Linked DNA regions of Macaca mulatta. The protein of the gene in region 4 interacts with the protein of the main gene of each other region in a biochemical or structural test. Links are inferred from orthologs where the notes say so. Each region holds a gene or a part of one and is shown on either strand. Other genes may lie near its edges. The genes, in order: PDGFB, PDGFA, PDGFC and PDGFRA.

What was found.
Region 1: the proteins of PDGFRA (region 4) and PDGFB form a complex in vitro, tested with the Homo sapiens proteins (3 studies listed by BioGRID). The link is inferred for Macaca mulatta from reciprocal best matches to the Homo sapiens genes PDGFRA and PDGFB.
Region 2: the proteins of PDGFRA (region 4) and PDGFA form a complex in vitro, tested with the Homo sapiens proteins (2 studies listed by BioGRID). The link is inferred for Macaca mulatta from reciprocal best matches to the Homo sapiens genes PDGFRA and PDGFA.
Region 3: the proteins of PDGFRA (region 4) and PDGFC form a complex in vitro, tested with the Homo sapiens proteins (2 studies listed by BioGRID and IntAct, with this or other methods). The link is inferred for Macaca mulatta from reciprocal best matches to the Homo sapiens genes PDGFRA and PDGFC.

Annotation. Positions count from the first base shown.
Region 1 is NC_133415.1:12,333,544-12,340,161, forward strand, and holds the end of PDGFB (platelet-derived growth factor subunit B), read left to right. Parts: intron 1-3,459; coding exon 3,460-3,584; 3' UTR 3,585-3,610; intron 3,611-3,989; exon of another isoform or gene 3,990-4,139; 3' UTR 4,140-5,632; downstream 5,633-6,618. UniProt on the Homo sapiens protein: Growth factor that plays an essential role in the regulation of embryonic development, cell proliferation, cell migration, survival and chemotaxis. Potent mitogen for cells of mesenchymal origin.
Region 2 is NC_133408.1:34,434,261-34,441,631, forward strand, and holds the end of PDGFA (platelet-derived growth factor subunit A), read right to left. Parts: intron 4,338-7,371; coding exon 4,211-4,337; intron 4,086-4,210; exon of another isoform or gene 3,683-4,085; intron 3,605-3,682; coding exon 3,549-3,604; 3' UTR 3,536-3,548; intron 1,679-3,535; coding exon of another isoform or gene 1,668-1,678; 3' UTR 396-1,667; downstream 1-395.
Region 3 is NC_133410.1:165,591,596-165,599,915, reverse strand, and holds the start of PDGFC (platelet-derived growth factor C), read left to right. Parts: upstream 1-3,943; 5' UTR 3,944-3,976; exon of another isoform or gene 3,977-4,723; 5' UTR 4,724-4,839; coding exon 4,840-4,957; intron 4,958-8,320. UniProt on the Homo sapiens protein: Growth factor that plays an essential role in the regulation of embryonic development, cell proliferation, cell migration, survival and chemotaxis. Potent mitogen and chemoattractant for cells of mesenchymal origin.
Region 4 is NC_133410.1:79,232,611-79,240,459, reverse strand, and holds part of PDGFRA (platelet-derived growth factor receptor alpha), read left to right. Parts: intron 1-410; coding exon 411-728; intron 729-3,034; coding exon 3,035-3,295; intron 3,296-4,311; coding exon 4,312-4,442; intron 4,443-6,693; coding exon 6,694-6,865; intron 6,866-6,956; coding exon 6,957-7,146; intron 7,147-7,849. UniProt on the Homo sapiens protein: Tyrosine-protein kinase that acts as a cell-surface receptor for PDGFA, PDGFB and PDGFC and plays an essential role in the regulation of embryonic development, cell proliferation, survival and chemotaxis.

The DNA.
Region 1 (6,618 bases), on a different chromosome or scaffold from region 4:
GGTGATCAGTCAGGGGTACGAGACGGCATTGGCAGCATTGTGAGGCAGTGAAACCCCGTCTCTACAAAAAATACAAAAATTAGCCAGGCATAGTGGCACACGCCTGTAGTCCCAGCTACTTAGGAGGCTGAGGTGGGAGGATCGCTTGAGGCTGGGATGTCGAGGCTACAGTGAGCCGTGATGGCACCACTGTACTCCAGCCTGGGCAACAGAGCAAGACCCTGCCTTTAAAAAAAAATGATTAATATGATTAGATGAGCGTTAAAAAAAATCATGTGAGTGATAGTTCTTTTTCAGTAACTTTCTATTGTTAGGGACAGGACAATCTTTTCATTCTCATTTCTGATTAACAAGACTGTGAAGACAGAGCCGTTTCTTGACCTCTGGGTCTTATTCCTAGAGCTGAGCTGAGTGGCTGGGATGCCCTGGAAAGGCTGATCATATGACAGCTTCAAACTGACGTGTTATAAATTATTGAGTTAACATGGAGGATGATTTCTCTATTAAGGGAAATATATATATATATATATATATATATATTTTTTTTTTTTTTTTGAGACAGTCTCACCCTGTTGCCCAGGCTGAAGTGCAGTGGTGCAATCTTGGCTCACTGCAACCTCTACCTCCTGGGTTCAAGCAGTTCTCCTGCCTTAGCCTCCGGATTAGCTGGAATTACAGGCACCTGCCACTACACCTGGCTAATTTTTGTATTTTTAGTAGAAACGGGATTTCGCCATGTTGGCCAGGCTGGTCTGGAACTCCTGACCTCAAGTGATCCACCTGCCTCGGCCTCCCAAAGTGCTGGGATTACAGGTGTGAGCCACCATGCCCAGCCTCTTTCTTTTTTAAGAGACAGGATCTCTCTCCATCACCTAGGCTGCAGTGCAATGGCATGATCATAGCTCACTGAAGCCTTGAACTCCTTCCTGGGCTCAAGCGAGCCTCCCTCCTCAGCTTCCCAAGTAGCTGGGATTACAGGCACGTGCCACCACGTCCAGCTAATATTTTAAATTTTTGTAGAGATGGGGTCTTGATTTGTTGCTCAGGCTGGTCTCTAACTCCTGGGTTCAAGTGATCCTCCCACCTCAGCCTCCCAAGGTGCTGGGATTACAGGCATTGAGCTACCACGCCTGGCTTTCTTTATGTTTAGAATGAGTTGCTTCATGTATTTGTTTCACATAATTTTCTAAACCAGTTTCTTGGGAGGCGCATTATACCAGTGAAACGTAGATGACGTAAAGTCCCATCATTTTAGTTCCGGTATTTTGGTTGAGTATGATGGTGTTTCTGTCACCTGTCCATGGGCCTGGCTAAGGCTTGGTGGCTCTTTGTGATACTGTGGTCAGTGTCAGACCTGGGCTCAGATCTGCGTGCTGTCACTCGAGCTGTGACCTTGTGCTTGCCTGGGCTTGGTATAGCCCGGTGTCCTGCTGATGGCCCAGGCTCTGGGGAAGAAAATCCCTGGGCCCTTCAGTGGCCCTCCTGGTGTCTTCTGTCTGAGGGGATCTGAAGCCCATCCAAGTCCCTGAACTGCTAGAAAATCTGCCCATTTGCAGAGATGGGACAGCTGCCTCGTGGGAGCTGGTGTCTGTAAGGTGGGAGGTCAGGTGTCAGATCCCGGCGGGCTGGGAGAGCTCAAAAGGCTCCCAGGAAAAGGCTGGCCTTGAGCTCAGCAGACACAGCTGTCCCTGCCAAGACAGCCACCTGGGAACCCAGGAGGGAGATAGTGTATAAGAGCTCCCCTTGACTGAGGCTCACAGACATTGTCGTTTGTGCTGAGTGGTTGGAGGTGTACACTCTGGAGGCAGATCCCTGAGTTCAAATCCCAGTCTCTCTGCTTCAGTTTCCTCATCTGTAAAGTGTGGGTAACAGCACCTGCCGGTAACAGCACCTGCCGTGAAGGGAAATGAGCATAGAGCAGCACCAGGTGCATGGTAAACACTAGCTGGGGAGTTTCTGGCCATTTCCATGTATTGTCTCCTAACGCTAGGAGGCCAGGGCTGCTGTCTTCTCTGCTTTAAAGATGTGGAAATCGGCAGGGCCCGGTGGCTCACGCCTGTAATCCCAGCACTCTGGGAGGTGAAGGCAGATGGATTACTTGAGGTCAGGAGTTCCAGACCAGCCTGGCCGACATGGTGAAACCCCACCTCTACTAAAAATACAAAAATTAACTGGGTGTCATGGCACAGGCCTGTAATCCCAGCTACTCGGGAGGCTGAGGCAGGAGAATCACTTGAACCTGGGAGGTGGAGGTTGCAGTGAGCTGAGATTGCACCACTGCACTCCAACCTGGGCAACAGAGTGAGACTCTGTCTTAAAAACAAATAAATAAAGATGTGGAAATCAAGGCACAGGGTGTTTAAGTGACTTGCTCCAATGTCCACAATACATGGGAAAGCTCAGATTTGAGCCCTGGTGAGTCAGATCCACAGCCTGAGTTGTGGCCCATCCATCCCACTCTACTGCTTCTCAGAGTGGCAAGGGGCAGGTAGGTGACAGGCACAACTGACCCGAAGGCCCAGCTTCATGGTGGGAGTGTGATTCTGGCCCAGAGCCCAGTGACCTCCCTACCACGTGACCGGATGAGGCTGAGAGGTTGGGGGGAAACCTCAATAGTAGGTCAAGCTAAGGAAAATAAGAAAAAAAAGTGAGTTGTAGCAGCTGCCATGTGCTGACTACTTCATACTCGGAGCTTTTTATTATCTCTCCCAGGTCTGGGGGTTGACTGGGCTCAGTTGGGCGGTTCTGTTGGCCTGTCTACTGGTTGCAGTCAGCTGGCAGCCTGGGCTGTGGTCATCTGGAGGCTCAACAGGGACAGCTGGGCCTATTTTCCTCTCCCTGTAGTCCAGGGCCTCTGGCTCTGTGGGGAGAGCCAGTCCCTACCTGGCCTCTCCATGTGGCCTCTCCAGCAGGGTAGCCAGACCTGTTATGTGGCGGCCCAGGGCCCCCCAAAGCATGAAGGTGAGAGCTTCCGGGCCTTCTTAAGGCCTCTGCCTGGAACTGGCACAGCACCACTTCTGCCTCTTGTTGGTTAAATAGCTCCAACTCCAGGCGAGATTCAAGGGGCAGGGAAATAAACTCTACTGGTCTGTGGGCAGTGACAAAGAACTTGAAACCATATTTAATCTACCTGGCTCTGTGTCCGGTACTGTGCAAAGAGCTTTGCCAGCGTACTGTCATTTACTCCTCCCACCAGTCCTATGAGGTGGGCAGTCTTATTACCCCCATTCCACAGATGGAGGCGCCGAGGCTCAGAGAGGTTCAGTCATTGTTCCCAAGGCATGTACAGCTGGTGAGCAGTGGAGTTGGGATCCAAACCCAGGACCCTGGCCCAGATTCCCCTCTTGTCCCTTTCCTGAGTCCAGAAGACCTCAGGAGGTCCGCGGCAGGCCTTGGTCAGTCGGGAGAGACCACCCCAGTGGTCCACATGCTCACGAGGTCTTTCTTTTTCTTATGCAGCCAAAACGCCCCAAACTCGGGTGACCATTCGGACGGTGCGAGTCCGCCGGCCCCCCAAGGGCAAGCACCGGAAATTCAAGCACACGCATGACAAGACGGCACTGAAGGAGACCCTCGGAGCCTAGGGGCATCGGCAGGAGAGTGTGGGCAGGTGAGGGCCGGGTGGGGAAACTGAGGCCCAGAACCCTGTGTTTCCTTCTCCGTGGCCTGTGGATGGGGTCAGGGGAAAGGATTTTTCTATACAAATCCAGCCTCTGAGCCTTGGTCCTCTCTGCTCAGTTATCAGCTGGGGCAGGGTGGGTGGTGGGCTTTGGAGACCCCAGCCCAGCTGTGTCCCAGCACGCCCTAAGAGAATGGGAGGTCTAAATCTCAATCTTCCCAGCCCTTCAATGCCCCAGCCCTGAGCACTGCTGGAAATCAGGGGTAGCTAGTTGTCCCCAGCTCCCTGCCCCTGGCATGGAGGACATATGAATGTGGGATGGACCCTCTAGGTTGTCTCTGACCCCCCTGTCTCTCTGCTTGTCCTGCAGGGTTATTTAATATGGTATTTGCTGTATTGCCCCCATGGGGTCCTTGGAGTGATAATATTGTTTCCCTCGTCCGTCTGTCTCGATGCCTGATTCGGACGGCCAATGGTGCTTTCCCCCACCCCTCCACGTGTCCGTCCACCCTTCCATCAGCGGGTCTCCTCCCAGCGGCCTCCGGCGTCTTGCCCAGCAGCTCAAGAAGAAAAAGAAGGACTGAACTCCATCGCTGTCTTCTTCGCCTGACTCCAAGAACTTGGGATAAGAGTGTGAGAGAGACTGACGGAGTCACTGTTTGGGGGAAACGGGCTCCTTCCCCTGCACCTGGCCTGGGCCACACCCGAGCGCTGTGGACTGGCCGGAGGAGCCCTGCACATGGCCCTGAGGACCTCTCAGCGTAGCCTGCCTGGTCCCTGGACCCCTGGCCAGCTCTGAGGGGAGACACCTCCAGGCAGGCCAGGCTACCTCGGACTCCGTGGCTAAGACCACAGACGGGCGCACAGACTGGAGAACACCCCTCCCACAGTGCCCAAACACCAGTCACCTCGTCTCCCTGGTGCCTCTGTACGCAGTGGCTTCTTTTCGTTTTCGTTTTGAAGACGTGGACTCCTCTAGGTGGGTGTGGCCAGCACACCAAGTGGCTGGGTGCCCTCTCAGGTGGGTTAGAGACGGAGTTTGCGGTTGAGGTGGCTGTAGATGGTGACCTGAGCATCCCCTGCCTCCTGCCACCTGTTCCTCCCTGCACTCCACTCTGATTCACCTCTTCCTCTGGTTCCTTTCATCTCTCTACCTCCACCCTCCGTCTTCCTCTTGTCCTGGCCCTTCAGTCTGCTCCACCAAGGGGCTCTTGAACCCCTTATTAAGGCCCCAGATGATCCCAGTCACTCCTCTCTAGGGCAGAAGACTAGAGGCCAGGGCAGCGAGGGACCTGCTCATCATTTTCCACCCCAGCTAAGACTGCCATGTAAGGTTGTGCAGGGTATGCACTGCACAAAGACATTGTATGCAGGGAGCACTGTTCACATCATAGATAAAGCTGATTTGTGTATTTATTATGACAATTTCTGGCATATGTAGGTAAAGAGGAAAAGGATCCTTTTCCTAATTCACACAAAGATTCCTCGTGGACTGGCCGTGCCCCTGATGCAGCCTGTGGCTTGGAGTGGCCAAATAGGAGGGAGACTGTGGTAGGGGCCGGGAGGCAACACTGCTGTCCACATGACCTCCATTTCCCAGAGTCCTCTGCTCCAGCAACTGCCCTTCCAGGTGGGTGTGGGACACCCGGGAGAAGGTCTCCAAGGGAGGGTGCAGCCCTCTTGCCCGCACCCCTCCCTGCTTGCACACTTCCCCATCTTCGATCCTTCTAAGCTCCGCCTCTGGTGGCTCCTCCTAGGAAACCAGCTTTGGGCTGGGAATGGGGGAGAGAAGGGAAGAGATCCCCAAGACCCCCTAGGGGTGGGGTCTGAGCTCCCACCTCCCTTCCCACCTACTGCACTTTCCCCCTTCCCACCTTCCAAAACCTGCTTCCTTCAGTTTGTAAAGTCGGTGATTATATTTTTGGGGGCTTTCCTTTTATTTTTTAAATGTAAAATTTATTTATATTCCGTATTTAAAGTTGTAAAAAAAAATAACCACAAAACAAAACCAAATGAATCTGCCGGAGGTCTGTCTGTTGGCATCATGTGTGACAATTAACCTTTCTGCCTTGGCAGGATGTGCCGACAGCTTGCGGCGTGTTCCTCTCACTCTGGGAGCCTCAGGCGCGATCGCACACACTGGCGCGCGCACACACACACACACACACATCCATGCTCACACATGCGTGCACATACACGCAGGCCCGTGGCTTCGGGGAGGCCTCAGTGCAGTGGGAGGGAAGAGACACACAGGCCACTCTGTCGGTCTTGGTCCTGACGCAGTCCTGACACGTGGACTTGTGCCTGTCTCTGGCAGTGACGAGAGATGGGTTTCTGCAGCCTGAGGGTTTCCATAGAGGAAGTGGATCCTCCGCATCGTGGGGTGGGCTGGCTGTGGGGAGGGAACAGCCACTGTGGGGAACACTGGAGGAAGTCCCAGAGGGGATGTGGGATTTAGAAGGAAACAGTGGAAAGCCGGGTCTGGGGTCTGGTCTCGGCTTAGCCCTTAGCCAGCTGTGTGGCCTTGGGCAAGTCACAGACTCACTCCGGCCAGAGAGGATGAGGAAAGGTGCGTGGGCTCCAAGCTCCTGCGTTCTGCGCTTTCTCTTGCTTATGAAGACTTGGGTACCAGCTCATAAAAAAGAGGCTAAATGTAGTCTAGGTCCCACCTGCAGCGTGGACTGGGGCTAAGAGGGACCCAGAAACTAAAGATCTGGGTGCTCATAAGGGCAATCTAAAACTAAAACCATTTTGCCCCCCGAAGTAGTGAGCCCCGTGTCACTGGAAGTGTATAAGCGAAAATGGGAACAATGTGGCTGAGGTTAGACTGAATAACATTTGGGCTCCCAGCAATTGATTGATCAATGGACTGATTCATTCCTTCACTCACTCACTTTCTTGAACCTCTGACATGTGCCTGTTACGGCCAGGAGCTTTTATAGTCATTTGATTTGAATTCATCCTGGGGTTCCTAGCCCAGCCCTTGAGGAAGTAGAGTC
Region 2 (7,371 bases), on a different chromosome or scaffold from region 4:
CACAGATGATCCTCGGAGAACGTGGGGTCAAGATTGAAAGCGACCTCGATGGTTTGTCTCGTGGGCCTGGAGGTGGTGGAGGGGCCAGCCCGGGCAGGGTATGGTGGGCGCCGCACATGGACACACCAGGTCAGGTGGGCTCCCTTCTTGGATGAAACTCTTCATGGTCTTCTGGCTACTCTGACACTCCTCATCCGCTCCAGGGAGTGGAGCCTGCAGGAGGATGCCCTTGGCCTAACCCTCGTAGGTGCTAAACCATGGAGGCAGGTCCAGGGACCCCACCCAGAAAGCTCTGACTTCCGCTTCCACCCAACAAAACACCGCATGACCTGGCAACCAGGGTCTAGAATCAGTGCTAGAAAAACGTACCACAAAACGCTTCTCACGTCCATGGGTTTTGTTGGTGGTATTTTTTTTTAATTTTGGATCAACAAAAATGAACATAGCAGGCTCTCAGGTATATAAAACAGGTAATATTAGGTAAACATACAAACTTCACCTTTACAAAAAAACAAACCACACACACACATTTCTGTTAATACACATAAAGCACAATATCTTACCAAAAATAAAGAATTTGGATTCTGTCCAAACACTGGCAGCAGAGGGAGTGACCGCCACCACGGCACCAGGGTACGACAACACAGATAGAAGCGGCAATGCATCTCATGTGCCGCGCGGGAACACAGCATTCTAGGTGTACACTGCGGGGAACAAGGTGTCACTCAGCCACAAACAGGGGCTCTGGGGCAGGTGCCGCAGGGACGGCATACGATTGGTTGACGCATAGTTCTTTCAAAATGGCTTAAATTAAAAAATAAAGCAGGGTAAGGGAGAAACACAAAGCCAGAAACATTTAGGAAATGATGCATAGGTAGGTATACCATGTTTATTTTAATACATCTCATTAGTTTGCATCTTGCTAGGAAAAATACCGTCGCACTGTCCTGACAGTTACAGCAGCCTGTGTGTTATCGGTGTAAATGTCATCCAAGAGATAATTTAAAAAAAAAAAAAAAAAAAAAAGCTAGCCAAAGAGTAAAAAGGAAAGCTTAATAATCACTTTATGGTGTAAAAAAAAAAAAAAAAAAAAAAAAAATTTCCACTTAAGGCTCTCAGGAAGGTTTCTGTATGGGCTTAAATACTACAGCGAGGAGGTGTGGTTTCTAAAGTTCGCGTGGCGGTTTCCAAGACATTCCTGCTTTCTGCGTGCCCCTGCAGAGCCCGCCAGCACCCCTCTGGAGTCGTTCCCAAAGCAGGCTCTGCATCCTCGGCAAAAAAGCACCTGTGACCACCCGGACAGAAATCCAGTCTGCTGAGACCTCTGCACTTCCATCCCACGGGAGCGACCCTCCATCTCGTCGAGTTTAGATATTTTTGTGAGTCCGTTTTGTTTTTGTCATGTTTTGTGGTTTTGTTTTCTCTCTCTCTCTCTCTCTCTTTGACAAGGAAGCTTCTTACTGCTTCACCGAGTGCTACAATACTTGCTTTGATGTCACATTAAACAAATGTGCACTGTCTCTTTGTTCTCCCGAGTGTTCTTGGACACAGTTTTTCACGGAGGAGAACAAAGACCGCACACTGGCAATAAAGCACCGTACATAGTAGGTTCAGGAATGTAACACGCCATGTACATCCATGTCCCAGGAAAGGGCTGCGGCTCATCCTCACCTCACATCTGCAGGGAGAAGGGAAAGACAGACACTGAGACCACCGACCAAGTGAACCACCCAGCACACACATCACTACATAGGAGGCAAACAGGGTGAAAACATTTAACCCAATCAGGGGTACACATGGATTTCAAGTTTTCATGAAATTTCCAGAATCACATTTGCCACATTAGCCATGTTGCAGTACCCTGACAGGAATTGGGATTAGGCTCCCAGCATCTCACAGAAGAACATGTCTAGAGACCAAGCCCCATTCTTCCATTGTACAGATGGGGGAAACTGAGGCCAAGAATGGTTCATTTGCCCTTCTCCCTGCCTTCCTTTCTTCCAGCCGAGGGCTTAGATGTGATTTCTGGAGCTCTGGCAGCCACCTTGGCCCATGAGACAACCCTGAGAATGGAGGCCACCAGCCAGACAGAAGAGTCTGCACCTAAGCAGACCTATGCTGATTCTTTAAGAACAACTCTTCCGCATCCTATGTTGCCGCTCCTTCACACACTCCAACACTTGGGCCAACTATAGGCTGAGCATGAGTGCCAGCCAGGCATGGGACAACAGGAGTGCCAGCCTCTCACCATGGGATCTGTCACAGCAGGCCCATGGAGGCCAGAGCCTAACGCTCTGTAGAAACAGAACCTGCAGGCAGGCACAAAACCACTCATCACACCACACTTTGGGCAAACGAAGCCAAGGCTGGCTGACCAACAGTCCTGGACTACTTCAAAGACCCGCCCAAGTGGATACTTTCCTCCCAAGAGGCTCCTCATGAATGGACCTCACCCGCAGGCCCAAGTCCCACATTGCAAACAGGAGCCAGGGTTCTCAGACACCCTATCTCTGAGAGCCTCCTCTCTTCTAAAGAAACTATTTGTTTTGGCCGCCATGGAGTCCCACGTGCCAGGAGGAGGAACCAGGCCAGACAGGGCTCCAACTTTCCCAAGCCAGGCGGGCCAATGCCAAGGACCAGGAAGGCTTGAAACTGCCTCCTCCGTGATGACAGCGACTGCCTAGGTCCCATCTCCATCTGGGAAGTGACGTGTGTTGCTAGGAGACGTTTCCCAAGCTCCCTTGCAGTGGAGGGATGGCAGTTGAGAAAAACACAAAAGTCACTGGGTGGAATTTCCAGGATAGCTCTCTAAGGGTGTTATTTTGCCCTTTTCCCCCCTCACTCCTTCTTCCAGCCTGGAGCACAGATGTGGTTTCTGGAGCTTTCGCAGCCACCTTGGGCCATGAGGCAACTGCAGATGGATGCCACTAGCCAGACAGAAGGGAGACCCTGATGATACTTCAAGACTACCCTCCCTGCTCTGCAATCCCACTTTTAGATGAAAGTCATGAAGCTCGACCTTATCTCAATCCCTGTGCTGTCTGGTGTCACTAGCAGCCAAATGCAATTTCCAACACAGGAGCCGACAGCCCTGTGCGTTTATAAAGGATTTCCAGATATATTCAGCCTCCAACAGTCCTTATCTGTAATCTCAGTTAAGCCTCAGTTTTTTCATCTGTCAAATGGGGTGGGTGATCCCAGAGTGGTCAGGCGGTCAGAGCAGCCCCACCGCTGCTCAGGTCGCCCAACCCATTCCATTCATGTGCAATGCTCCTGCGTCCCCAATCAACGACAAAGAGAAGGACAAAGCTGAAGGCAGGCTCCCAGAGTGGGAGTGAGCCGCGGGCCAGGGCGTTCTGCGAGGCAGGAGCAGACGGGGAGCAAGGAGACCCAAGCCCAGCAGACACCATGAAGGCCAATCAGGGCCACGTCCCTGCCGCACCCGGCGAGACAGGAAGCGTGATTTGCTGGTGTGATCAGTTGGTTGCACTTCCCCGCCCTGCAGGACTCAGCATGTCCGGCGGACAGGTCCTACCTGGTTGGCTGCTTTAGGTGGGTTTTAACCTTTTTCTTTTCCGTTTTTTACCTGACTCCCTAGGCCTTCCTGTTAACAAAAGGGCACGGCAGTGAGTGGGCCAAGGGATGGCCGTCGGGGTGAAGAACTGAAGCAACAAATACCTACGGTGTTTATCTTTCCAGAAGAGAAGGCCAGCACCCTGGCATGGAGAAACTTCTGAGTCCCCTCGTGCTCCCAGGGCCCAGACACAGCAGGGCACAGAGGCCATTCTGCTCCTGGGTGGAGTCCGCTCAGTGGGGTGAAGGAGAGACCCCAGCCAGCCAGGGCAGCTGTAGTCCTCGAACTTGCTCCTCCCGCCCATCCCGGCAGGGGCCCTTCTTCAGATTCTTCTCATCTCAGCCCCGTGGCCCACTGATGAGTTGGGCATCTTATGCACTCCCAGCCCCTCTCAGTGAGGCCTGAACCTCCTCTCCTGTCAGTGCTGCGGCTTGGGCTCCCCACTGGACACCTGCAGGCGTGGGATCTGCCTCCTCAGCAGGCATCTGGCCCAGGAGCAGGCCAACAAGTCCTTCAACAGCAGCCCAGATGCACACAGTCGTGAGCATCGCGCTCCAGGGGGCCACCTAACACCCCAAAAGCAAGGCTCCGAGGATCTGTTCTCGAACACCAATGCCAACGAAGGCAGCCACTCACCTGTGTCCTCTTCCCGATAATCCGGATTCAGGCTGGTGGTTGCGCAGGCGCACTCCAAATGCTCCTCTAACCTCACCTGGACTTCTTTTAATTTTGGTTTCTTCCTGACGTATTCCACCTTGGCCACCTGTCCGACAGAACACAGCCCAGCCATGAATGCCTGCATGGAGTTTCAGACAACACGACGTGCTGGGAGCCAGGGACAGGCTGGGAGGGAGGAGAGAGCAGCCTGACCTCTGACCTCTGACCTCCTCCCAGGAACGCTACCTTGTGGTGGAGAGTGTAGGAGTACCAGGTGAAAAACCTACAAGCTGCAGTGCAGTTTTTTGTGTGTGTGTTTTAGTTTTTTTGAGTAGGATCTCACCCTGTCACCCAGGCCAATCATAGCTCTCTGCAGCCTTGAACTCTTGGGCTCAAATGATCCTTCCACCTCAGCCTCCCACCTGTAAGCACAGGCCACCATGCCCAGCTAATTTAAATTTTTTTTTTTTTCTGGTAGAAATGAGATCTCGCTATGTTGCCGAGGTTGATGTTGAACTCCTGGACTCAAGTGATCTTCCTGCCTCAGCCTCCCAATGTGCTGGAATTTCAAGCGAGAGCCACCACGCCTGGCGTTGGAGCATGGCATTTTGTAGATTCATCCTATTTTTGTTTAAAATAAACCCAAAGGTTCACGTGTGCCTGGGGGGTCTGAAGGATGCACACTGCTAAGGTGTGGGAGTTTGGGGGTTCTGGGGTGCAGGTGGCCAGGGAAAGTGTTTGCTTGTGTGTGGATGTGCAGCTGGAAAATGTTTTCAAATGATCATGTTGTTATTAAATACATTTTAAAAGCCAGGCTGAGCATGGTGGCTCACGCCTGTAATCCCAGCACTTAGGAAGGCCAAGGCGGGAGGATCACTTAACTCCAGGGGTTCAAGACCAGCCTGGGCAACATAGTAAGAGCCTGTCTCTAAAAACAATTTAAAAACTAGCGAGCCATGGTGGCACCTGTAGTCCCAGCCTACTCAGAAGGCTGAGGTTGGAGTATCACTTGAGCCCAGGAGTTTGAGGCTGCAGTGAGCTGTGATAATACCACTGCACTCCAGCCTGGGCGATATACCAAGACCCTATCTCTATTAAAAAAAATTTTACAGCCATGGCCTAGGAATGGGGGGTTCGTGGCTGTATCCTAGCCTGAGGTTGTTGTGGACTTGAGAGTCCAGATGATAATCCCAGCTGCTGGCCTGATGAGGTCCCCACCTCCCTGCCAGCCCCCAGGCAGCAGGGCCAGCAGACCCACAACCGGGGTCCCCTCATGACTCCCCCAGGTCCAAGGCTCTCCTTGGGCTCAGAGAGGCCTGACCTCGGAAACCAGGGCCAGGAACCCTGGGCCATCACTGAGGCTCCACAAGATGAACCGGGAGGAGCACAGGCTGGTGGGCTGTGGCTGTCAGGCACAGGCAGCTCAAAAGCGAACCAGACCTCAGCCGAGTGTCTCTCTTCAGACTGGACTCTGCCTGTCTGCAAGCCACACCTGCCCTCAATTCTCCAGGCACAGAACCACAACATAGGGGTCCTGCCTCCACAGCCCCTTCCTGGGGGAGCTGAAGGCAGACAATGGCCCAGTCCAGGCCAGAGAGGGGGAGCTTCAGGCATTCAACAAGGGAGGCAAGAAACACACACACACACACACACATGCACACATGCATAATGCACATACAAGCCCCGTCATGGGAACACAACTCCACCCCCCACACACACCTGTATAATGCACACACATACCCTGTCATGGGGAGGCAACTCCACCCCCCACACACATTCATGCAGGCATAATGTACACATGGGCCCCATTATGGGAATCTTACTACACACACGCCTGGCATCAACAGACCCCTAATGCACGGCCAGGGACCGCGTGAGTCGAGCACCGGCTCTCCCAGCCCAAACCCCAGCACTCATGTCATCCTCCCAACCACCCTATAAGGAGGCACGACTGGCACCTCCATTCACAGAAGAAGAAACTGAGACACAGGCAAGCCCTAATTAAACCTGTCCCTAACTGCTAGGCTGTCCCACCTGCCCCCTGGGGCACATGCCAGGGAACAGCCACCACCTTCCTGCCCTCCCAGGCCCTGGGGAGCCGAGCACCCAGCAGGCGCTCCATCTGTGCCCACGGAACCAGCCCTGCCGCATACAGGGTCTAAGTCCAAGAACAGCCCCCACTTCACCCCTCACGGTTCATGGGGAAACTGAGGCTAGAAAGGAAACAGAGGCCGGGTCACCCCCTGAGCACAGGGGCATGGGGGAATGCACACTGCTGGGTGAATGAGGAGACCTCAGCACAAGGTCAGATGCCCCCAGCCCAGTGGCCCTGCCTCCCAGGCAGTCAGGAGGGTAAAGGAGGGAAGAGGGGAATGTTTCCCAACCTTCTTCAGGGGGTGGGGTGGGGGACTCTGGAGACTGGGCATCAGCAGGACCCCCAGGCAGAAGGTCAGCTCTGCACCCTGGGACCAGGCAGGCTCCGAAGGTAAGCCAGTCCCTAAGGCACTGGAGACCAGGCTTGTCCAAGGCTGAGTTAATGGTTAACCCACAGTGCAAAGGGTGCCTGCAGGCGTGTGAAGTGGTCTGGCCTGCCTGGGGCATGAACAGACAGCCAAGTATGAGCTCAACAGGTGCAGGGCGTGGGACGCCTGGGGTCAGGAGCCAGCTCAGAAACAGGACCTGGCCTGGGAGGTTTCGCTACGTCACAAAGCGTGAGAGAAAGCGGCCAGGACACCGCCGCTTCCTGGATGGGGTTCCGTTCCATTCGGGAGGCTTCAGACCAGTCCCCCAACTCCCGCGGCAATCTGCCCCTTTCCCCAGGACAGAATCCTCCAGAGAGGCTTCTGCAGCTGTGCACACACTTCCACCTCCCATCTGGAAAAGGGAAGCCGATCACACCCACTCAAGGGTTGAGGAATAAATGAGGCTGCACACGCAGAAGCCCCCAGAACTGAGGACAAAGCCAGCCTTCAGGAGTGGGCTGCCACCGGCGTCTATTCTAACACAGAGCCTCGAAACCAACCCGCCCCCTGGTCCCCAGGCTCAGCACAGTACCACCCCCCACCCACCACAGGCAGAGAGTGAGTCTAGAGTCATGCTCCTGTTGAGGGCCTGGGGTGGGAGAGGCCCAGCCTAAGGAT
Region 3 (8,320 bases), about 86 Mb from region 4:
GAGAAGATTTCCAGATCAAGGTTGTATTGTTTATTAGTGGTAAAGCCAGACTTAAGTCCCTGACCTCCTATCTCCCAGTGAAATGATCTTTTGTTGTGGTGGTTAAAAGGTTACTAGGGCTTCTCTTTCTTTGGGGCTGTTTCTGGCTAGTTACTCCCTCTGGGTTCTGAGTCAGACAAACACTTCTAAGATTTTGGAAAAATCTATGCATACTAAGTCATGATTTCAATAAGAAAATAGCAGCTTTACTTCAAAGGGAAAGGCCACAGAGAGCCAACTGAAGTCCACTTCTGCAGGCCACACTTCTCTTAACTCCCCATCCTCCAAATCCATTCCCCAGGAAAGTCAGAATGACAAAGTGTGTGTTCTTCTAGAGCAGAGCCTCAGCAAAACCCTCTACCCTCAGCCACAGCAGGTAAACCCTTCTCAGATTAGCATTTGATACACTGGGGAGGTAAAAGCTACCTGATGCTAGCAGAATAAAATGTAATGAAAAGTGTCTCATTTCTTGGTTTGAAAAACAGGGTATTGATATATATCCTCGTAACCTAGAGATAGCGGGCCATATTTCTCAAGATGAGGTAGCTGAAAAAGTGGAGAGAAAAGAGGATGACTCTAAGACAGACTACTGACTTTATTTATTTATTTACTTCCTAATACAGTCTTTATTCCTGCTGTGGTCTGTGGGCATTTACTTTGCCTACTAATGATATCCTCAGCCCTGCCTTTTATAAATATATATATATATATATGTATATATATAAAATTGTTACTTGTCAGCCATTGTCAAAACACAATGAGTATTTAGGTAGAACAAAGCTTTCTGAACTTCAGGAATTCATGCTCAATTATCTGCCACTAAAATACTGAAAAGTCCTAGGGAAAGTCTTAAAACAACTTTGCACATATGCCTCTGTGTGTGTGTGCATGCACGTGTGTGTGTCTTAGGATCAAAACAGAAAAATAAAGAGCAAAAAAACGTAGATATGGTTTGTTTTGGGGCAAAAATATGTCCCCATGGTTCCTGCCCCTTTGGGTGTTAAGTGACTAGCTAAAGGAGTAGGTTGCTTTAAAATCTTATTTCACTTAAAAAAATTTAGTAGTGACACCCCCTCCCCCAAATTATCATTGTTAACCACCAAGTATATTCTTTAATAAGAATTTGTAGGTAATACTCTTCATGCATGCAGCAGCAACGGGCAATCCTTCTTAAGGTTTAAGAAAACATGAAAACCACAAAGAATGTTTGAAATTATTTTCTCTTGGTTGGTGGAACAGATGCCTTTCATCAAGGAAAATGCTTTGGCCAAAACAAAGCCATATTCATTTAAAATATATTGTTCAGTAATTGCACAGACTCTGGATTAAATAACATTTACTTTCAATGCAAAGATTTCATTTTTCTAGAAAAGGTTAACAAGCAAAATAGAGCAGGAAGACAGGCAGAGGATAATGTGTTAAAAGAATCAACTACGTCAAGGGCAAGAGCAGTTCAAGAAATGACAATGCAAGTACATTGAAAGGAAATTGGCCAATGTGGATGTGATTTTGTCTAGGGGTCATTCAGGAACACCTGGCTGACTTTATTTATAAGGCGATTGTCAAATCAATCTGTAGAATATGGATGAGGTGAAACGCAGAGGTAGAGTATTATTCTAGATCATCTGTAACTTTTCAAATACAACCATTGCGCTGAAATTCCAGGGAGAATGTAAGTGACTCCAATAAAGAAACCTGTCAGTCAGTCATGAGTGTTTATTTATTACCACCCTGTGCCAAGCACTGTTCTAGCCAATATGAAATGATACAAAATAAAGAGTAGTCATCACCCGTCCAATCTCCTGAGAGCAAATGGATTACATTTGCAGACACACACACACACACACACACACACACACACACACACACACACCCTCTATGTGGGTGGTCAGGAAACTCAACTCTGTGGACGTATAACAACTTCATTTAGAAAAATGCTGATTAGAAAACCAAACACACAAAATTAGAAAAACTGGAGAATAATGAATTTTATGACAAATAGATTACAATGGATTCATTGTAATCTTTTTTTTTAAATTTATTTAAATTTAAATCTTTTATTTAATTCCCATTATGTCATTAAAATTGGGAATAAAACCTTCACCCTCACAAATTTACAAAATATTTTTGGAATATATTATGCAAATATGGAGTCACACTGGCGTTGTGGAGCTGCTAACTGGAATAAAATACCATACTTGATTAAAAAAACCTTCTGTCCACTAAACTGTAAATTCCTTAAAGTCAAAGATCAGGTCTTATTTGCCTTTAATGTATATTTAGTACTCTGTAGATAGAAGTGGTAAAGGGATAAGAATGAATGAATGAGACAGGTGGGCGAAATTTTCAAGAATGAGACAGATCGGTGAAGTTTTAAAAGGTTTCAAAAAGGAAAAAAACAAGACGACTAGGATATTTCAAGCAGAAAGGTCTGGTTGGTTGGCCCCAGTCGGTGTCTGAGTATACAAAGAGGGCTTGGCATTTTCATCACCACTGAAGAAGGATCAGCTCCTGCTTTGGTCCAGTAAGAATATGTTCTTGCTCAAATGCCACTCCTTAGTTGCAGGGACATTGCTATTTTGGTTTTCTGTTCCAGCCCAAGTGTCCTTGATGGTCGAATTGTTGCATTGACTTTTTTTTTCACAAGAAGTTGGGTGATACTGCTGATTTGCCTGCCATGGCACTTGCTTGATATATATAGTTTTCATTTTGATTATTACACAAAAGTAGCTTCATTTTAAAATTCAATTTTCTGACTCTCTGCTTGTGCCTTCAACACATTCACAATGATTTTCTGCTTCTCCACGAAGAAAGCACGTTGGATCCTGTCACAGACACATTTAGCAGACATGGAACCACCATAGGCCCTGCTTGGCATGTGTGTTTCATTTCAGACTACCTCATAAGAACTTTAGGTCTTAAAGCATCAGCCTCTCTCTCCAAGTCAGCCTGAACACAAGCCACATACAGATTTCGGTTATTTCTCGACCTTTTTGGTGTAAATGTAAACAATTCTATCAACAGGGGTTCAGGGCAGCCTAGTTTTGTTAGAGGCTGTATTGTAGGAAAGTCCAAGGTTGCAGGATCCTTCTGAGTCCCTTAGACGCCGTTCTCAGAAGAGCTTGCTATTAGCTTAACGCTGCCCAACTACTACGTATGCTTCACCAGGGCAGGGACTTTTGTCTGTTTTCACTGCTACGGTTCCAGCCTCTAAACAGTGCCCGACAGAGTGGGCATTCAGTAAATATAGTACTTGTTAAATGAATGTTATTATTTTGGCTGCCTTTACTTTTGCTTTATCTGTCCTGCTTTACGGAGCTGGAAATTGGAGAAAAACCTTTGAATTCATTTCCCTTCTTTCCGTTCTGAAACTCTGGCCAAGGGTCCTAGCAAAGACCTTAGGGAGTGGGGATCCCTCTTGGAAACTAATGGCAAGTCCGGCGACAGGGGGCGGCAGAAGGAGAGTTGCAAGAAGTTCTTTCCCACTTCTTACTTCTGCAGCACCCTTCACCACCCATCGTGCTCTGTATTTGGGGTTAGAGGTATTCCGTGGAAAGGAAAGCTGGGGCCGCCTTGGCCGCGTTCCTCGCCTGGGCCATCGGGGTCTTGCCCACAGCGAGTCCCGCAACACCCCCTGTCTGCGCAGCACCTGTTAACAGCCAGTGGGCGGCCAAGCCCGCTCGCGCGGACGCGGCCCGGGGCTGCCCCTCCCAGAGGCGCCGACCCCCGCCCGCCCCATCGGCCGCCTGCGGGAGAGCCGCTAAGCCTCCCCCGCTCGCCAGCCGCGCGCTCCGCCCGGACTCGGCCCACGGCCCCCACCTCCTGTCTGCCGCCGGGCGGGGGGAAGGTAGAGAAGGGGAGGGGACAAGCCGGATCCTCCCGGCCGCCCCGGCCTTCCCTCTTCACCCCGTGCGGAGACGCCGCGCCGAGCCCCGAGGTTAGAGCGGAGCCCGAGGCGTGGGGGGAGGGGAGGGGAACGACCGGAGCCCCGCGGCGACCCCGAGCGGCCGAATTGCCCCAGGCTTTGAGGAGCAGGGGACGCGCCCGAACAAGGTGAACTTTGGTCGCGGAAAACTCAAGCCAGGTGCCGGAATCCGTGCTGCGGCGCTCGGGACGCGGCGCCGACTGCGCGCCTGGTTGGGGAGCAGGAGCCCCGGGGCCTCTCTCCGCCTGCGCCTGGGCCGGTCTCGGCCCGGAGCCCCCCGGCCCCGCTCCGGCGCCCCGGCCCGTGGGACCAGCCGCGGCGCCCTCGCCTTGTTTCTTCCCCCTCCCCCTTCGGGGGTGGGGGGTGGGGCGGGGGAGAGGGGCGCACGGAGAGCCGCATCTATTGGCAGCTTTGTTATTGATCAGAAACTGCTCGCCGCCGACTTGGCTTCCAGTCTGGCTGCTCGCGACCCTTGAGTTTTCGCCTCTGTCCTGTCCCCCGAACTGACAGGTGCTCCCAGCAACTTGCTGGTGACTTCTCGCCGCTCCCCCGCGTCCCCACCCCCTCATTCCTCCCTCGCCTTCACCCCCACCCCCACCACTTCGCCAACAGCTCAGGATTTGTTTAAACCTTGGGAAACTGGTTCAGGTCCAGGTTTTGCTTTGATCCTTTTCAAAAACTGGAGACACAGAAGAGGGCTCTAGGAAAAAGTTTTGGATGGGATTATGTGGAAACTACCCTGCGATTCTCTGCTGCCAGAGCAGGCTCGGCGCTTCCACCCCAGTGCAGCCTTCCCCTGGCGGTGGTGAAAGAGACTCGGGAGTCGCTGCTTCCAAAGTGCCCGCCGTGAGTGAGCTCTCGTCCCAGTCAGCCAAATGCTCCTCCTCAGGCTTCTCCTGCTGACATCTGCCCTGGCCGGCCAGAGACAGGGGACTCAGGCGGAATCCAACCTGAGTAGTAAATTCCAGTTCTCCAGCAACAAGGAACAGAACGGTGAGTCTTTCCCCCATTCTCCCCCTGCTTGTTTCTCGCTGTGTGTGTTAACGTTGGCATTGTGCGTTGGTATGTGATGTATACCAGACTGCGAAGGTATCTTTGGTCTCTACATGCAAATGCGCGCTCCGTTCACTGGCATGGACTGTTGAAGGTTAAGTGTAGTTTGCAACTTCGGGAGCTGCCACAAAGCTCCAAGAGGGCAACGTGAGTGCCACTGCAGCCTCAGTTAGAGTGAGGACATTCTGGGAGCGATTGTGAACGTCAGTTCAAATGCACATTGCAGGTTCGCTCATTGCCAGAGTTAGAAGTTCAAGAACTGCCTCTAAAAACGAATCCAAAATGAATGAGTCTTGGCATGTTTGACTTTACTCAGATTTGGGGAGGGCGAGGGGGATCGGTCAGGAAATGTATCAGCCGCATGAATTGAAGCACTCTAGGTCGAAGTCATCAATTAATCAATGAGTAGATAGGAAATATAGAGGTCAAGAGGCTGTGTGGTAGTTTTTAGAGGAATTAAAAAGTGTATTTCTCTTGCGCCCTATTTTTTGTTTTTTAAACTTGCCTTTGTACTCTGAAGTCCTTACCTTTCTGGTGGTGTGTTTTAGTATGTGTCGGTGAATGACTGCTATTTTGTGTGTGCTGGAAGCGACTTAATCCTGCATAGGAAATGAGAATTACTTTCAGCTTTCAAGTGTACCTGAAATGTTTCGAAAACTCTCAGATGCAAGTTCCCTTGGGCTGGGATTGCACAGAGCTGGAGAAAGGCTCCTTTCATAAAGCCAGGGCAGCTTCAGGGTGTGTAATTTGCTTAGCCTCTGAACCCATATGATTTACATCATTCAATTTCTAAACTCTTTTTCTCTTCATCTACCATTATGAAGTCATTTTTGAGAATACTTTGTAAATAGAAATTTTATACTGCACATGAAACCACAGTGTTCATGTAGGCTGTCTAAAATTGGAATGTTTAATGCCCTGTTTACAAGTGGTGGCTCTTACTGTTATTTGAAAAGGAATATACATGTTTTTACTGCTTTGTATATCATCGATTCTGTCACTTCATTAACCATGCAAAATGAACACAAATGGCATAACTGCAAAATTAAAATGGGGTGTGCTATAGTTTTAAGTCACAGTGATTTTTTTTCCTTTTCATATCAGGGTATTTCAAACCTTCAACTTTGAATTTAAACTCTATGAAGTGTTCATGTTTAAGAAAGCACAGAAAGTTTTAGGGTATAAAAATAGATAAAACAAGGATTCTGCGGACTTTTGCAAACATTATTTGTATTTGCTGCTGCACAGCAAGACATAGTATCACATTTATCAGCCAATATTAGTATGGTGGTGCTTACAACTTGCTAATGTGATGGCACATGGCACCTGCAGGCTCCTTGAGCTGCTGATCAAAGGGCAGCCTAGGGATCTATCTCTAATCACAGTAGCTGCAGAGGACTGGGGGAAAGTGATCAAAGGAGCCACAGCACCAGCTGTACTAGTGCAGGAAACAGATCAGACCAACCTTTGTTCTTTCTCATGTAAAATAAATGTCCAGTTCAAAATATTGCTTCTTACTAGACAAGCTCCTCCATAATGACAACAATGCACAATATTCCTGGCTTCCTGGCTTCTGTTTTTTACTGTTCCTGTCCCATATCATTTCTCCTATTGCCTTGTCTTATCAAGCCTTTCTTGGCATCTCCCCGAATCTCTTTGCTAACCTGTGCTTCTCTTTGTCCTTTCCTTGTAGTTCTCTCTTGTGTTCCACATGCTGTCATCACTTCGTAAGGGGCCCAGAGCTGTCGTGAAGCATGTGGTTATAGGCCACTTTACCCAAGTAGGTTCACACCTTCAGGAGAGATGAGTTCATTAAGCCAGGCCACACACATTCTGTTGCCATCTGAAGCTGGGCCATTTCCATTCCTAAGATGCATGATGCCAAAAATTGCTGCTTGTTTCCTAATCTGTGGGCAGAGTTTTGGGCTATGTTAGGGGTTGGTCTATGTTAAGGATGGCGGCAGGAAGTAACTAGAAGTAGAGGAACTACTTGCAGTTTTTTAGCCCAAGGAGAAGTGGCACTGGCCAGCACTAGGGGGCAATATAGAGCTATTTTCTTGCACATACTCAGGTTGATTTTTGTACGTCAAAGTTTGAAGATGTGAGGATAACAGGTGGGTGCTGAAGAAGATTCCCCTGGAATGTAATCAGATTTGTTAGAGCTACTACCATTACCATTAGTACTACTACTTCTACTTCTTCTTTTTGACTTTCAAATTTTCCATTATGTGGATAACTTTTTGCCCACATACTGAATTATGATTGATTTTTTATTGGCCTCTTGCTTTCTCAATTTTGACGGTTGTACAGTCCTGTAAATATGAACCCTCCTTGAGGATACCACGTAGAAGATCCCATTGGCCCAGATCCCATTGACCCAGTTCGTGCATTGAATCATTTTGTGAACGGTCTTCTCTAACTCTGAAATGTCCAAATTGATATGACTATAGCAGCTCATTCTTGTCTTCAAGGACCCCTCCTCATGATACTCTCTTTTCTTGAGTATTCTAAAGTCCCTAATGGTGTTTATTCAATCAGTTACCTCTGGCTGCTTAGTTTTAGTATTAACTTGGTGTTTCAAGAGGAGGTAGGGCCGGGCGCGGTGGCTCACGCCTGTAATCCCAGCACTTTGGGAGGCCGAGGCGGGCGGATCACAAGGTCAGGAGATCGAGACCACGGTGAAACCCCGTCTCTACTAAAAATACAAAAAATTAGCCGGGCGCGGTGGCGGGCGCCTGTAGTCCCAGCTACTCAGGAGGCTGAGGCAGGAGAATGGCATAAACCCAGGAGGCGGAGCTTGCAGTGAGCCGAGATCGCGCCACTGCACTCCAGCCTGGGCGACAGAGCGAGACTCCGTCTCAGAAAACAAACAAACAAAACAAACAAACAAACAAAAAACAAACAAACAAAAAAAGAGGAGGTAGAATTGGAAATTGATGGGTATAGCCAATGCCGCATACGTGGATTTAGACTGGATCATGTGGACATGGTTCAGAAGTAGCTTTGAAGGGTTAGTGTCATTTACACTATTGTTAGGTATCTGGTTTTTGACCTACCATTGGGTTGCAGTTCTTGCCACTTTTACTGTACAAACAGTTTTATCCTCTAATATTATAAGTTGGCTTCATAAACCATACTTAATTTGTAACCTTACTTCTGACCCTGTCTCACATATGAAAACAAGGGTTTTCAGATTTAACTTGAGGAAAGAGATTAAAAGATAACATTGACTTGCTTGGGGAGTGTCTGGTCTGTATACTTAGTATATGATCATGGTGAAAAATACTCATATTTTGTGCACAC
Region 4 (7,849 bases):
GACATGAGCTGCTGCACCCCAGCCTCATCTCATTTTAACTAAGGGAAACCTCTGCAGTGACTGTGAACCATAAAGAACCCATATGTGCCTGAGCCTGTGCCATCTTGGGATATTTTATGGTTACACATAAGAGTCTGAAATATGGAATTGGAATCAGACATCCTCTGTCCATTTGAGTGTTTGGAGGAGTGAATCTAGTGGGGCTTGGTGGAGCTATCTGGAACATTTGCTGCTCTCAGCAGATGCAGTGGCTGTTATAATGGGGGACCTTTCATGGGCATCCAGGCTAACGGATTTTTGTGTAGAAATGGTCATTGTTCATCTAAGCTGCTACTATTGCTTCTCTCAGTTCTCGGGATGAGACCGTCCTTTCTGGTTGCATCCTATTCAGAGCGTGTTTCCTTTTGCAGGGCTGAGCCTAATCCTCTGCCAGCTTTCGTTACCCTCTATCCTTCCAAATGAAAATGAAAAGGTTGTGCAGCTGAATTCATCCTTTTCTCTGAGATGCTTTGGGGAGAGTGAAGTGAGCTGGCAGTACCCCATGTCTGAAGAAGAGAACTCTGATGTGGAAATCAGAAATGAAGAAAACAACAGTGGCCTTTTTGTGACAGTCTTGGAAGTGAGCAGTGCCTCGGCGGCCCACACAGGGCTGTACACTTGCTATTACAACCACACTCAGACAGAAGAGAATGAGCTTGAAGGCAGGCACATTTACATCTATGTGCCAGGTGAGTGGGATGGGTCCCCAGGACCGAGCTTCTTCTCTTCCTGTCTTTCCTGTTAAATGTACTAAGGTTTTAAACATATATATAAGTAATTAATATTTATTGCAGGAAGTTTGAAAGATGTAAGCGAACACACAGAAATAAAAATCATTTGTAATATTATCAAGAAATATTCATTGTTAGCATTTCAGAGCTGTATTAAGTTTGGAAAGTCATCTTTGTTATGACATGTCCTGTATTGGTACTGTATAAACAATCTGAAATATACTCATCTCTATTCAGTTCATTCAAGTTGCACACATACTCACAGTGTGTCCAGCACTGGGCTACGTGTTGAGTATACAAAAATTAATAGGTAAGCCCGGTCTTGGAGTTGCTGATAGTTCATTATAATATCTTCCAAATAAACACTCGATTTTTCAGATTCACTATCAATATACATTTATTCTGAGAGTTGGAAGGTATTTTCTTTTTCCTTTTAAAAAGTTATATATATATATATATATATATATTTTGAAACAGGGTCTCACTCTGTTGCCCAGGCTGGAATGCAGTGGCATGATCATGGCTTACTGCAACCTCAACTCCCCTGGTTCAAGCGATCCTCCCACTTCAGCCTCCCAAGTAGCTGGGATTACAGGCATGCACCACCACGCCTGGCTAATTTTTATATTTTAAAAAATTTTTGGGTGTGTATTTTCATTTGAGACAGGGGTTTCACCATATTGACCAGGCTGGTCTTGAACTCCTGACCTTAAGTAATCTATCTGCTTCGGCCTCCCAAAATGCTGGGATTACAGGCGTGAGCCACTATGCCGAAATTTTTGTATTTTTTTTGTAGAGATAGGGTTTCACTGTGTGGCCCAGGCTGGTCTCGAACTCCTGGGCTCAAGTGAGCCCCACCCACCTCAGCCTTCCAAAGTTCTGGGGTTACAGGCGTGAGCCACTGGGCCTGGCCTACTCCTACATTTTAATTAAAAGGACAAAGGATTGAACACAAGTGGTGGCAATTTCAGTATGCAGTTGGGTAAATTAAAAAGGACTGTGGCTAGAATCCTTGGTTTTAGAACAAAACAGAAACCGCTTAGGATTCTTGCCATCCTTGCTGTTTTGGCATAGGTCGAGGAAGGGGGTTCTCACAGAAGTGTGTCTTCCTACCTTTCTGCCTTTTCTTTTTCAGTTTTTAATGGGCTCCTCTTCCTACCCTCTGTAACTATGGGTGTCCCCAGGGACCTAGACCCTCTTTACTTCTTTCATGATACTCTTATTCATATGAGCCTTCCTTCTTAACAATTAAGGAAAAAATAAACAACTTTGTTTTGAAAAGGTAAGACATTTAGAATGTCACCCCAACTTCATTCACACTTAGATTCCTTCAGGAAAATCCTCTAGGTGTGGAGGGATTTTCCCCTGCTGTGAAGAGAATGGTAGGATCGTGAATATGTTAAAGGCACACAAGTCCCTGAAGTTTTAATCCGTGTAAGATTGTCCAAAAATTCTTCTTGTTCCCTATCTTTTTCCAGCACAGACGCCATCCAAGTAGCCCCTGCATCGCTGTCTGACAGAGATCTTTTGATTTCACAATAATGGAGATTTAGGGGCCTTTTCTGCAGCTGATGTTTGAGACTCTTAGAACTTCTTACCACCGTAGCTTAAGTAGCTGTTTTTCTTTTGGAAAGGAAATTCTCAGGCTCCTTCTCCTTCTCCTTCTTTAAATTTTATGTATTTCTCAAAGGATTACTTTTTAACAAACACATTTCTGTGCTACTTTTCAATCGTACTGACTACAGGTGATAAGAGTTTTTTGAAAGTATTTCATAATAAAACTAGAAATATTTTTTCCTGTTTTGAACAGAGTTGGACTCTATTAAATATTTTATTGTTCATTTTTGTTTTTAGTTGTTTAAATTTTGATTTAGATTCCTGGTTAGTATTTATTTATTTATTTGTAGAGACAGGGTCTCTCTATGTTGCCCAGCCTGGTCTCAAACTCCTGAACACAAGCAACCCTCCCACCTTGGCTTCCCAAAGTGCTGGGATTAAAGGCATGAGCCACAACTCTTATCCAGTATTAATATTTATCATCAGTATTATCTATCAGGAGACAGGCAATTTGATATTATTCACACTTAAAAATCACTTTGTAGCTGTCATGATAACTAATGCCAGTGGGGCAATTCTTCTGGATATATGTGTAAAGGTGAACTTCATACCTAATATCAATACTGCCAGTGGGATAGTGTTTCTGGATTTATGTGTAAAGGTGAAATTAATGTCTAATGGAGTCTTCATTCTTTTTTAAACTACAGACCCAGATGTAGCCTTTGTACCTCTAGGAATGACGGATTATTTAGTCATCGTGGAGGACGATGATTCTGCCATCATACCTTGTCGCACAACTGATCCTGAGACTCCTGTAACTTTACACAACAGTGAGGGGGTGGTACCTGCCTCCTACAACAGCAGACAGGGCTTTAATGGGACCTTCACTGTAGGGCCCTATATCTGTGAGGCCACCGTCAAAGGAAAGAAGTTCCAGACCATCCCATTTAACGTTTATGCTTTAAAAGGTACTCGTATCATCTCCTTCCTTCTTTAAATAAGAGTAACAGGCATAATCATCAGGTGCATGTATGATTTTTTTTTTAAATCATCGCCACTGGTGATCCTAAATTCCTATTTGGGGATTTAGGACCCCAGCTAATACAGTGTCAAGGTGACCTCTATGGCTATAATAATAAGCTTAAAATTACTAAAGGCTAAAGCTTGATTACTCATGCAAGATTTCATGTTTCATCAGTTGACTTCAAAATACTGTAAGGAATTCTTTTCTTACATAAGCCTCTTACTTTCATTCACATTCCTGACTACGGAGGCCCTAAAACAAGCATACACCTTGGGGGTTAGATTCCTAGATTAATTTAGTAACTTAAGGAAAATGATTTCAATTCTGAAGAAAGTAGTTGTAGACTTCAACCCTTTGATGTCCACAGTTAGTACGCTTGGGGAAGTATAATACATGCTGAGGTCAACAGATATTTCCTGACCACTATTCTATGTGGGGGAATGGGTAGCAGCAAGAGTACACTGTTTGAAAATCAGAGCACAGCTAATTTTGTGCCAGGCACTGTGCTGGGTTCTGGGAAAGTACTGAGAATAACTGAGGAGCAGAGTGGAAGAGAAGAAGAGAAGAAAAAATTGGATAGAAACAAAGTGTCTAGAGCAGTGTGGATCATCAAAGGTTGGTTGATTAAATGAATAAGTATGTCAGTCAAGGTGATTGTAGACGAGTATAACCATAACTAACGCACTGCTGAGGAATGCAGTGATTGGAATTTATTTTTATTGTTATTATTTTATAATTCTGTATTATAACTATACACCTAATTGTTGTACACCATCTCAAAATCAAGCCTTGTGAGATTTTCTAAATTTTATCTTGATCAGGGCTTTTATTCATAATTGGTTCACAAATTATTTTTCAGGGTTTTCTTAAAAAAACAAAAAACAACACCACCACCCAAACTTTATAAGATCCTTACTATCCTATGGATTTTTAGGCCCTTGTATTTGTTCTTTTTTATAGCAACATCAGAGCTGGATCTAGAAATGGAAGCTCTTAAAACCGTGTATAAGTCAGGGGAAACGATTGTGGTCACCTGTGCTGTTTTTAACAATGAGGTGGTTGACCTTCAGTGGACTTACCCTGGAGAAGTGGTAGGTACCCTCAAAATGTGCAATGGCTTGGAGCAGAGCAGCAGGGCTCAGAAGACCTGCATTTGTGCTGGGTCTGTCACTGATGGGCACATCACTGAGTTTCTCTAGACCTTAGCTTCCCACCTCTATGATGAACACATTTGATTAAAAAGCCTTTAGGGCTCCTTGATCAATGGGCGAGTTTGAAACGACAGTTGCTGGACCAGGGCCTTCAGAATACATAAAGAGTGTGCACTAAGCCTTCTTTCTCAGAAGTCAGACAGAAATAGGAAGGTTCTCTGGCTACAAAATATCAACCAAAAAATTAGAAGAGCAAAAAAACCGCTGGATTTTACTATTGCGGAGAGTCATTAATTGTCATTGTCTTGGCTTCTGTGCTTCTGACGGTTGATTCATTTGATAGTGTTTATTGCCTGCACTCCTTCCTGTTCTGCCTTGTTGACACTGAGGACAGTGTGTCTTCCTGTTCCACCTCCTATGTGCCTGACCTTTGCATGGCTCACGTTCAGTGAACAGTCACTATGTAATCATTCAACAAAGGTTTAATGATGTTTTACTCAATCTCAAGCACCGTACCAGAAGCTGGTCCAATATTGCCGGATGAAGGGAGGAGGGGAGATGGAAGTGGGGAAAGGGAGCCACCATGCTGCCTCTTGGTCACTGGAGATTTACACAGAGTCTCAGTCATTCGAATGCATTGTCACTAAGTAAGAGAGGCATGTGTAAGAGGCTATGAATGCCCAAATGCAGGAATGACTAACATTCTTATGGAGAACAAAAACCAGATATATATATTTCTTCCCTCTTCTCCTGACTTGTAAATTTCTGCTCCCTGTTCTTTTAGGCATTTGACAGCTTTCTGTCCTTCTATCCATTGATCTCCCTCCTTATATACATTTCTCTCTCCCATGCATTTGCCACTGCTTTTCATTCGTCCTGGAGCATCTGATTGGAAGGTGGGCATTTTCACTATTGCCTCATAAACTTCACATGGTAAAGGGACATTTACAGTCCAACAAATGTACAACTTCCCTGAAATATGGAGTGATTTGGTTCTTCTGTTCACACTTGATTGCCATTAATCCCTAACACATAAACACTGCTTTTTATTTATAGGATACAGTATTTTTTTCCCAAACCAAAGTACATGCTATTTGGCTTACAAATATATAATCAAAGTATTGTTTCATATAATATGTTTTTTTCTGATTGTAAAAGTAATGCAGGTTTAATGCAGATACTTTGTAAAATACGGAGAGACAAAGGAAAGGCTACTTCCCAGAGCATCGCTGTTTATATTTTAGGGAGATAAAACTTTTATTTTTTATTTGTCTTTCTTTCGGTTTTTTTTTTCTTCTTCTTCTTTTTTTTTTTTTTTTTTTTTTGTAGAGATGAGGGTCTCACTACATTGCCCAGGCTGGTCTCGAATTCCTGGACTTAAGTGATCCTCCTACCTTGGCCTTTCAAAGTGTTGGGATTACACATGTGAGCCTCTGAGATTGACTGAGATAAAGTTTTTAAATATTTCTTATCCATAGATAAACATTGAATAATTAATAGGTGTTATTCTTTAAACAGTAGTTTGTTACATTCTTTATCCTTCAGCAGTATAGCACAAACACCTTATATGTGTCATTAACTCTCCTTTTAAAAAATTGGCTGGGTGTGGTAGCTCATGCCTGTAATCCCAATACTTTGGGAGGCCGAGGCAGGAGGGTCACTTGAGGCCAGGAGTTTGAGATCAGCCTGGGCAATGTATTGAGACTCCGTCTCTACAAAAATGTTTTAAAAATTAGCCAGGCGTGGTGGCATGAGCCTGTAGCCTCAGCTACTCTGGAGACCAAGGTAGGAGGATCGCTTGAGCTCAGGAGGTTGAGGCTTCAGTGAGCCATGATTGTGCCACTGCACTCCAGCCTGGGCAGCAGAGCGAGATTCTGTCTCTAGAAAAATTAAAAACAAAATAAAAAATCTCATGATTTTCTAAGCAGCTAGCTTTTTTTCTTTAGGTTTTATCTTTTAGAGCAGTTTTAGGTTTACAGCAAAATTGAGTGAGAGGTACAGAGATTTCCCACGTGTTTCCTGCTCCCACACATGCATAGCCTCCCCGCTTGTCAACATCCCTGCCGTCCATTTGCTACAACTGATGAACCTCCATTGACACATCGTATCACCCAGAGTCCATAGTCTACCTTAGAGTTCACTCCTAGGAGCGAGCTTTTTAAAAGTCGGTTTTCTTCCCCTTTTGCTGTAGAAAGGCAAAGGCATCACAATGCTGGAAGAAATCAAAGTCCCATCCATCAAATTGGTGTACACTTTGACGGTCCCCGAGGCCACGGTGAAAGACAGTGGAGATTACGAATGTGCTGCCCGCCAGGCTACCAGGGAGGTCAAAGAAATGAAGAGAGTCACTATTTCTGTCCATGGTACATTCCGCTTTCTAAAATGTCAGTCGTCCATGCTGCTCGGGATCCATATGTGGTAATCTTTATTTAATGGAAACTCTTCCCTGTACAGAGAAAGGGTTCATTGAAATCAAACCCACCTTTAGCCAGTTGGAAGCTGTCAACCTGCATGAAGTCAAACATTTTGTCGTAGAGGTGCAGGCCTACCCACCTCCCAGGATATCCTGGCTGAAAAACAATCTGACTCTGATTGAAAACCTCACGGAGATCACCACTGATGTGGAAAAGATTCAGGAAATAAGGTAAAGAAACACTCTGCCCAAGTATGCCTTTTTTTAGTGTGCATCAGAGGTGGACTGAGGTTTGTGTGTGTCTTACAACCCAGACCCAAAGTCATTCTAGAAAATGTAGCAATCTGAGTTCAGAGATGCTTGAAATCACATCCCTTTAATGATAACATTGCAATATGGTATTAGTATGCTGGTAAGTATTTAATGAGAAGATGAGAAGAAAGAACTAAAAGCTCTGGCTCCTGGGGAAAGACAGGTCACTGTGTTCAGCTAGGGTGGAAGAAAGGAAGTAAAATCGGACTCACCAGGATTGAATAGATTGAATACATTCCCTGATGTTCATCATCCATATTGCAAGTAGACATGTATGGTGATTACACCCGTGAGGTAGTTATCACATCACCTTACGTGAAAGTTAACATCGTAGGCTTAATCTGGAACCCATTTGCCCTAACTGAGGACTCCACAGGAAAGAAGAGTAGAGCCTGGCTGACTTTAGTCAGGAAAGAGATGTGCAGTGAATCACTTGGATCCCTGCCTTTTAATCAGAATGGTCGATTGCTCTCATCTCTTAACTGGTGGTGGCGTTTTGAGTGAGTCACCCTCAGCCACAGTTTCCTGATCTACAATGTAGGGTAAACAATACCTTATGTCCTTCGAGGCAAGGAATTGGATCAGATGATATCATGGGGCTTCTTGAGGTTTTAAGCTGTGA